Rattus norvegicus: one gene and its partner. The protein of the gene in region 2 interacts with the protein of the main gene of each other region in a pairwise test. Links are inferred from orthologs where the notes say so. Each region holds a gene or a part of one and is shown on either strand. Other genes may lie near its edges.

Region 1 (3,652 bases), on a different chromosome or scaffold from region 2:
AACAGACGGTTATCGGGCTGTTATCCAAAAAACATGAGAGATGCACAAAACAAGAGCTGCCTTAGCTTCAGTACTAAGGAGTGACAACCCTCCACTCTGATGGCATCTGTAAGATGGATAACACTCTGTCGATCTGTCTTGAGTAAGAAACAAGTATAAAATAGGAGAAAGTGGGGCTGGAGAGATGGCTCAGCGGTTAAGAGTGCTGACTGCTCTTCCAGAGGTCCTGAGTTCAAATCCCAGCAACCACATGGTGGCTCACAACCATCTGTAATGGGATCTGATGCCCTCTTCTGGCTTGCAAGTGTACATGCAGGCAGAACTCCATACACAATAAATAAATAAATCTTTTAAAAACAATGAAAAAACAAAGGTAGGAAGTAAATCTGCCTTTCAGTTGGACCGAGAACATAAAGCATGTTATCTGGTGGAGAAAGGGGACGTGTTGGGTGCACCCTCTGGGCTGGTAAAAGCCTCTCTGGTGGAGAAAGGGGACGTGTTGGGTGCACCCTCTGGGCTGGTAAAAGCCTCTCTGGGGAGTCAACTTACAGAAAGACGGGATCCAGCCCTCGCTCTCGCGATGCTTTCTTTCTCCTTCTCAGATACCTTTCTCTGCACAACCTGGAAATTGTTCAAGGCCGACGAGAAGTCATTCATGAGCCGCTCCTTCTGAAGCTTCTGTTGGCGCTGAAGACAGTAAGCAAGAAGTTTAAATCTCAAGAGAACTCAGATTCATTTGGTTTAATATTGATTAAAAGCACAATTATATACTTAAGAGATTTCGAGGTACAAAAGTCATTACAAAACGGGCTTTTCCTTAAATCCTAAGTTGTTCCTTCCTGAGTCAAATCCCCAGTTAACCCACGTAAGAACATACAGGTGAGCGTGGGAACCAGGTGACGTTTACACGACACTGAAATGGAAGTGCAATTTGGAATATCTGGGCCCTGGAGAATCTAAATGCATAGTGGAGGCCTTTGAGCTCAGAGCGTCTAGTTTTTTTGGGGGGGGAAAATATTAAAACTACTTTTCTATACTAAGTTATTAGTTTTCCTGAAGATTACCATTATTTTCCTTTATAGTTTTTTTTTGAATTTTAAAAAATTTCAAGAACTTAAAAAAAAACTTATAACTTATAGTTACCTTCACAACACTACTTATTTAACTACTTAACTATAAACCGAGAACCCGCTCTGGGCTACGCATCTGACTTAAATACTGTATTCTTCTTCTCCTCCTGCTCTTCCTCTCCATTCTCCTCCTCAGTCTCTTCTTTTTTAATGGTTTTTCAAGACAGGGTTTCTCTGTGCAGTCCTGGCTGGCCTCCAAAAGTCATAGAAATCCACCTACCTATGCCTCCCAAATGCTGGGATTAAAGCCATGTGCCTCCACTGCCCAGCCAACAAATACTATATTTTTTAAATAGCTTATTTTCCTACATCATAAAGCTGGAAAATATCAGAACTTAACAAAGGGGCGGAGCTGGAGAGATGGCTCAGTGGTTAAGAGCACCGACTGCTCTTCCAGAGGTCCTGAGTTCAATTCCCAGCAACCACATGGTGGCTCACAACCATCTGTAATGGGATCTGATGCCCTCTTCTGGTGTGACTGAAGACAGCTACAGTGCACTTACATACATAAAATAAATAAATCTTTAAAAAAAAAAAATAAAAAGAAGGTAGTTTGGTTGGATCCAAAGGTATATTGGTAAGAGAACTAAAACAGAAAAACAGGGAAGCAGGGAAGGGCTGACTAGCCAGTTCTAAAGGTCAAACTAGTACACATAGGGTCACCTCTGAGGAGCCGACCAACAGCAACTGAGTGGGGGACACTGCCTGGCAAGGACAACCTACTAACGTAGAGACCAGGCTGTGATGCTTGCTAGCTGGAATGAGCAATAAAAAAAATGACTGTAGCAATGTAGTTTAACGGGTAGAGGACATAATGGTAGTAATGGGCCCAGAAAGGAGTTTAAGAAACATTATGACTTGGTGACTAGGACGGAGGAAGAGCATAGGTCAGAAGGACTCACACTTCAAACCCGGGAAGTGATAGCAATACTGAAAGACACTTTAGGTGAGGAAAGTTTTCTTCCTTCTGGGATTTTCATCTCTGCATTAAGAAGATTTTAGCAGGCTGGACACAGTGATGTACGCCTTTGATGCCAGCACTTGGGAGGCAGAGGCAGGCAGTGAGTGCAAGGCCAGCCTGAGAAAGTCAGTTCTAGGCCAGCCAGAGGCCACAGTGAAACTCTGTCTCAAACAAACAAACAACCCCAAAGAATTCTGTGGACTGTAATCCCAGCACTCAGGGCAAAGCCAGGAGGACTGTGGCAGGAAGGAAAGAACGCCACTCCTGACCTCACCATCTACAATTGCTGAAGCTGGGCATGGTGGTACATGCCTTTGAGCTCAACACTGGGGAGGCAGAGGCAGGTGGATCTCTGTGAGTTTGAAGCCAGCCTGGTCTACATAGAGAGTTTTAGTAGAGCCGGGACTATACAGAGAGATCAACCAACCAACAAATAAATAAAAATTACTCATTGGGTCAAACACATGACCTTATACATACAAATCAAGGAACCATACATACTGAGTTTCCCTAGGCCCCAAAATGCCATTTTTAAAGTGTATCATACTTTCTGCATTAATATATTCTTTTTTCTTTTCTTTTTTTCGGAGCTGGGGACCAAACCCAGGGCCTTGCGTTTGCTAGGCAAGTGCTCTACCACTGAGCTACATCCCCAACCCCTAATATATTCTTTAAAATAAGAAATTTTAATTATTGCCTTCATTTTAAGAACTTTTTTTACTACATTTTTTGTAAAAATTCCTTCCACTATTATCAGTTTTAAATCACTATAAATAAAGTTAAAAGTGAGCTTCATTGTAATAATTAGTAATTTACACTTTCCTTCAAATTCTTTTCTTTAGAACAAATTTATATGAGTGTGATTAGATCAAAAGGCACATTTTGTCTTTCCTATGCTGGGGATAGAACCAAAGATCTTGCGCATACCTGTGAGTCATATAGACCCAGTCCTTATTTGTCAATTATTTCTATGATGATAAATATCCTCAGTCAACTTATTTCCTGGGTTTGAATGGGAAACGGAATAAGACCATTACTACCATACTTTATACGGAGGTAATACATTCAAGAGGAGACAGCCAGAGCCGGACATATAGTTCAGTGTAGGTCACATATCCGGCATAGGTAAGGCCCTGCATTCCACCCCCAGCACCACAAATAAGTCTGAAACAGAGTTGAACAAGGGCTGGTAATAGCAGCTGGCAGCATGATGAAGTAACCCAAGGCTTGGGAGCTCAAGTTTGGGAACTATCTGGCGCCACCATTATTCAGATGGCACTGACGTCATTAAATAAGTGAGGCTCCTGGGGAAGAATGGCTGAGGTAAGGAAATCAGAAGATCAATAGCAGAACTCTGGGCATGCCAACTTTGAGAAGAATCAGTGAAGAAGGCTGAAACTCATCTTGGGCACCATCAGTGAAATAAGTGTCTCAAAAGAAAGGGGGTTCAAAAAAAAAAAAGAAAGGGGGTTCAAAAAAGGCCACAGTAGTCAGCAGCTGAGAGATCCCCTAACAGAATGCATGCATGGGAAATAGAAAGCACCTTCCTAATGCTGTGACC
Region 2 (3,640 bases):
TTTGGGACACCGTGAGGCAGTGCTACAGAACCGGTTAGCCTGTGAGCATGCCACACTTTTTTTAATTTAAGATTTATTTATTTATTTACTATGTATACAGAATTTTGCCTGCATCTATGCCTGCATAGCAGAAAAGGGCACCAAATCAAGCCACCATGTGATTGCTGGAAGTTGAACCCGGATCCTCTGGAAGAACAGCCAGATGATCTTGACTGCTGAGACATCTCTCTGGCCGGCTTGGAACACTTAAATCTTTCTTCATTTCGGAGTTTTCTATCCCAAAGTCAGAAGGCTCAGGCTGGTGAGAAGCTTCACTGTGTAAAGACAGCTGCCTCCAAGCCTGACCACCTGAGTCTGACCTCTGGGAGCCAAGTGATGGAGAGACCAACTCCTGAATGTTGTCCTAACACCTCCACATGTGTTATGCTGGGGCACAAGAAACACACACACACACACACACACACACACACACACACACACACACACACTCACTCACGCACGCACCTCTGAAGAAAAGGGCTTATTCAAGCAAAGTAGAATTTTTTTTTTTTTACTGAAGTGATACATTATACATTTAAAATTGCACAGTTATAAGAAGAGAAGGGGAAATAAAGATGCTCTGATCTTTTGTTCTACTTGTTACATGAATGAACTTCAGGCCTCTCCTACAGAACGAGGAAAACCAATTGACGAGGTCACTCCAATGCTGGTGAGTTACAGGTCAGTAGCTGTTAGTCTTCTCTGGAGGACAGTGCACTTGTTTTGGTGGTACACGTAGCACACAGCTAACCTAAGGTTACAAATGCCGCCTCTCTGAAGGCGGGGTGTCTCAGGCTGTCTTGCAGACCTCGCATGGCAAGTAGCTCACTGGTCTGTCCACTCCACTCATGCTTGCCACCTCCCCAGCACTAACCCTTGCTAGGCCAGAGAGCAGGAGTGAGTCTTTCCTTCCTCTCCCACCATCCACAGTCACTGATTCTCTTGAGACAAGATCTTACCCTGAACCTGGAACTCATAGCCACCCTTCCACCTTGGCCTAAGTGCTGTGATTAGAGTGTCAGCCAGCAGACCTGGTTCTGGAGCTTCCCCAAGTCCTTTGTTGTCTGTGATGTGCAAACGACCCTGCTTTATAAGGCAGCACCTGCTCCAGCCAGTCTCCAGCAGGCCAACAGACAACTTCAGAGGACCACAGAGTCTGAGGAACAGGACAAAATGGACAAGGACCTCTAATGGTTTACAGGAACACGGTTTCACAGTTTCACATTCATGGAGTAAAGAAAGACTGGGAAAGGAGCGATTGGCTTCATTCATTTAGCAAAACAAAGAAAGGTTCATAAAATGTCCCTTAGCCTCAGTCAGCTGATTCCCACTAGGATGCCCATGGAAGGCATCCTCGTGTGTTCATTTCTTGGGATTGTTAATTTCTACAAGGCTATGCCTGATGGTGATAAAGAGGAACAGTTATTAGAACATGAGAAGGTTTCATAGAAAAAAAAAACACCAATAAACAATTAGGAGTGGAGATACATATGGATTGGTCTCTCTCTACATTGTTTGAGACAGGTCTGAATATATTGTCTTGGCTGGCCTGGAACTCACAGAGGTCCACTTCAGTCAGATCTTTACGTTTGGGCCCTTTCTGCCTGTGGCTGCTGTATTTTCAGGAAGGTTGGATATTTTGGGACAAGAGTGAGTTCATGTTGCTACATGAACAGTAATAGTCCTGATACCCCATCTTCTGATCCTCTCCCCAACCGTGGAGACCAACCCCAGGCCCCAGGAGAGAAGGTAGATAATTGACCACTGAGCTGCACCCCTAGCCCCACTGCGTGCTTTGCTTTAAGACTACAGACTCCAAATGCTGAAGGAAGGATCCCCAAGCAGCACAAGAGCCATGTTTTAAGGCAAGAAGGCACTGGCATTTTAGATTCTGACATATCTTACTAGTTAAAAAGTCCCCTTTACCTTCTTCAAAATGCGTGACTTTGATTTTAATATAGTCAGGTGTTCCGTGGCTTTAGTAACTCTACTGGCAGTACCAACACAAGGGAAATTTCTTGCAGGAATCAGTTTTAATTAATGCTTCTAAATATTTTCTTTTGGAAACTGAAGGGAGCAAACACTAGCTAGCTAAGAGAGTCTCCGGCCTCTTGGTCCAATCATCTGACAGACAGAGGTGAGCATCATTTGTGGGGTCTAAGTCCTAAAACTAGGTGGAGCACTTTGTAGAAATGGAGACTGCGTGGGTCTCTGGGATGGATGAGGAGACTCCAGGCACCAAATAAACACGGCCTTTGGTTCTATTCCCAGAGGCACAGGGCTCAGTGTCGAGGTTTTTAAGTAATACTCCATGCACACAAACCAACCGACAAGTTGGCTTTGAGCCGGTGGAGAAAGTCCCCACCAGAGATGGAAAGAGTGAGGTGAGAACCGGTGGGAAGAAGGGCACGTCTGTTCTCACACGCTCCCTCCCAGGTGTCATGTCTAGCAATCCTGCTCTGAGTCCTTCTGCTAAAGTGCAGGACGAGAACAGAAGATGGGGGTTGGGACAATGAAGGCAACACATTTCAGTTCTGTACAGAACATGGATCCTTTTCATGGGGAGAGAGCTACCATGTGCTCAGTTTGTGTGCAGGCATGTCCACAAGACTTGACATATGAAGATGTGGAGGGACCCTTCCTTCTGCCACAAACCCAGGGTCCCTTCACATCTGAATTCACAGTAAGGCCTCAGAGTGAGAAACATAACTAATGGGTAAGTGAAAGGCAGTGCTTACCAACACTCTGCCCACAGCTCTGCAGACACTCGTGAAATTAGAAACGCAGTGCCTTCTCTCCTTCCAGCACAGTAACCAAAGGCTCAAGGTGTTCATAATTCTCTGCTTAGACTAAAACTCAGCAGACAGCTCACAGAACTTTGTTGATCTTACCAAAATGTGGAAGATACATTTTTTCCCCATTGATACTAAAATTTCAAAGACCCACATTTGAAAACGTGTTACATTACATACTAAGTGACATCCATAAGAGTTTAACGGATTATGACTCTTCTCATCAGGACGGAGCAGAGCGTCTTCGTGTCTCTAGAGTTGCCGCACCTTTTTTTCTGTGCTTTTTATATTGACATCTAACTTGTCCACTTTGGTTGTTAGCCGGTCAAGGATGTCATCCTGCTCCTCGATTTCCGTCTGCATTCCTAAGGCTATGTCCTTTAGGCGGCCCAATCCCACAGACAGCTCATCTGTGAGAAGGAAATGACAGGCAGTCACAGTGCCTCTGGATTACAGAGTCCTGCCTGAGAGGCTGTGTGCCATATGTGTGCCAGCTTGTAGCATATGCTTCTCACAATACACAGAAGTGAAAAGAAAGATATTTACCACACAGTAATATGTAGCTAACGTAGGGAGAGGCCACCGTGTATCTCCTTTCTCCAGACAACCACTGTTAAGAGGGATTTTTTGTTGTTGTTATTTTAAGTATCATCTTGATATATAGCTCTGGCTGTAACTCACTAAGCAGTCCAGGCTGGCCCTGAGGTCACAGAGATCTCCCTGTTTCTGCTTGAGAAGATCACAGGGGTCACTAGTCCATATGGCGTTTCCCCCCTGGGTGCTGCAGAATCAAACACAGAGCCTGCATA

Evidence for each region.
Region 1: the proteins of Snap29 (region 2) and Stx12 interact in binary tests that used the Homo sapiens proteins (3 or more experiments, as listed by UniProt). The link is inferred for Rattus norvegicus from reciprocal best matches to the Homo sapiens genes SNAP29 and STX12.

The regions. Positions count from the first base shown.
Region 1 is NC_086023.1:150,355,769-150,359,420, forward strand, and holds part of Stx12 (syntaxin-12), read right to left. Parts: intron 688-3,652; coding exon 550-687; intron 1-549. UniProt on the Homo sapiens protein: SNARE promoting fusion of transport vesicles with target membranes. Together with SNARE STX6, promotes movement of vesicles from endosomes to the cell membrane, and may therefore function in the endocytic recycling pathway.
Region 2 is NC_086029.1:97,082,187-97,085,826, forward strand, and holds the end of Snap29 (synaptosomal-associated protein 29), read right to left. Parts: intron 3,242-3,640; coding exon 3,084-3,241; 3' UTR 535-3,083; downstream 1-534. UniProt on the Homo sapiens protein: SNAREs, soluble N-ethylmaleimide-sensitive factor-attachment protein receptors, are essential proteins for fusion of cellular membranes.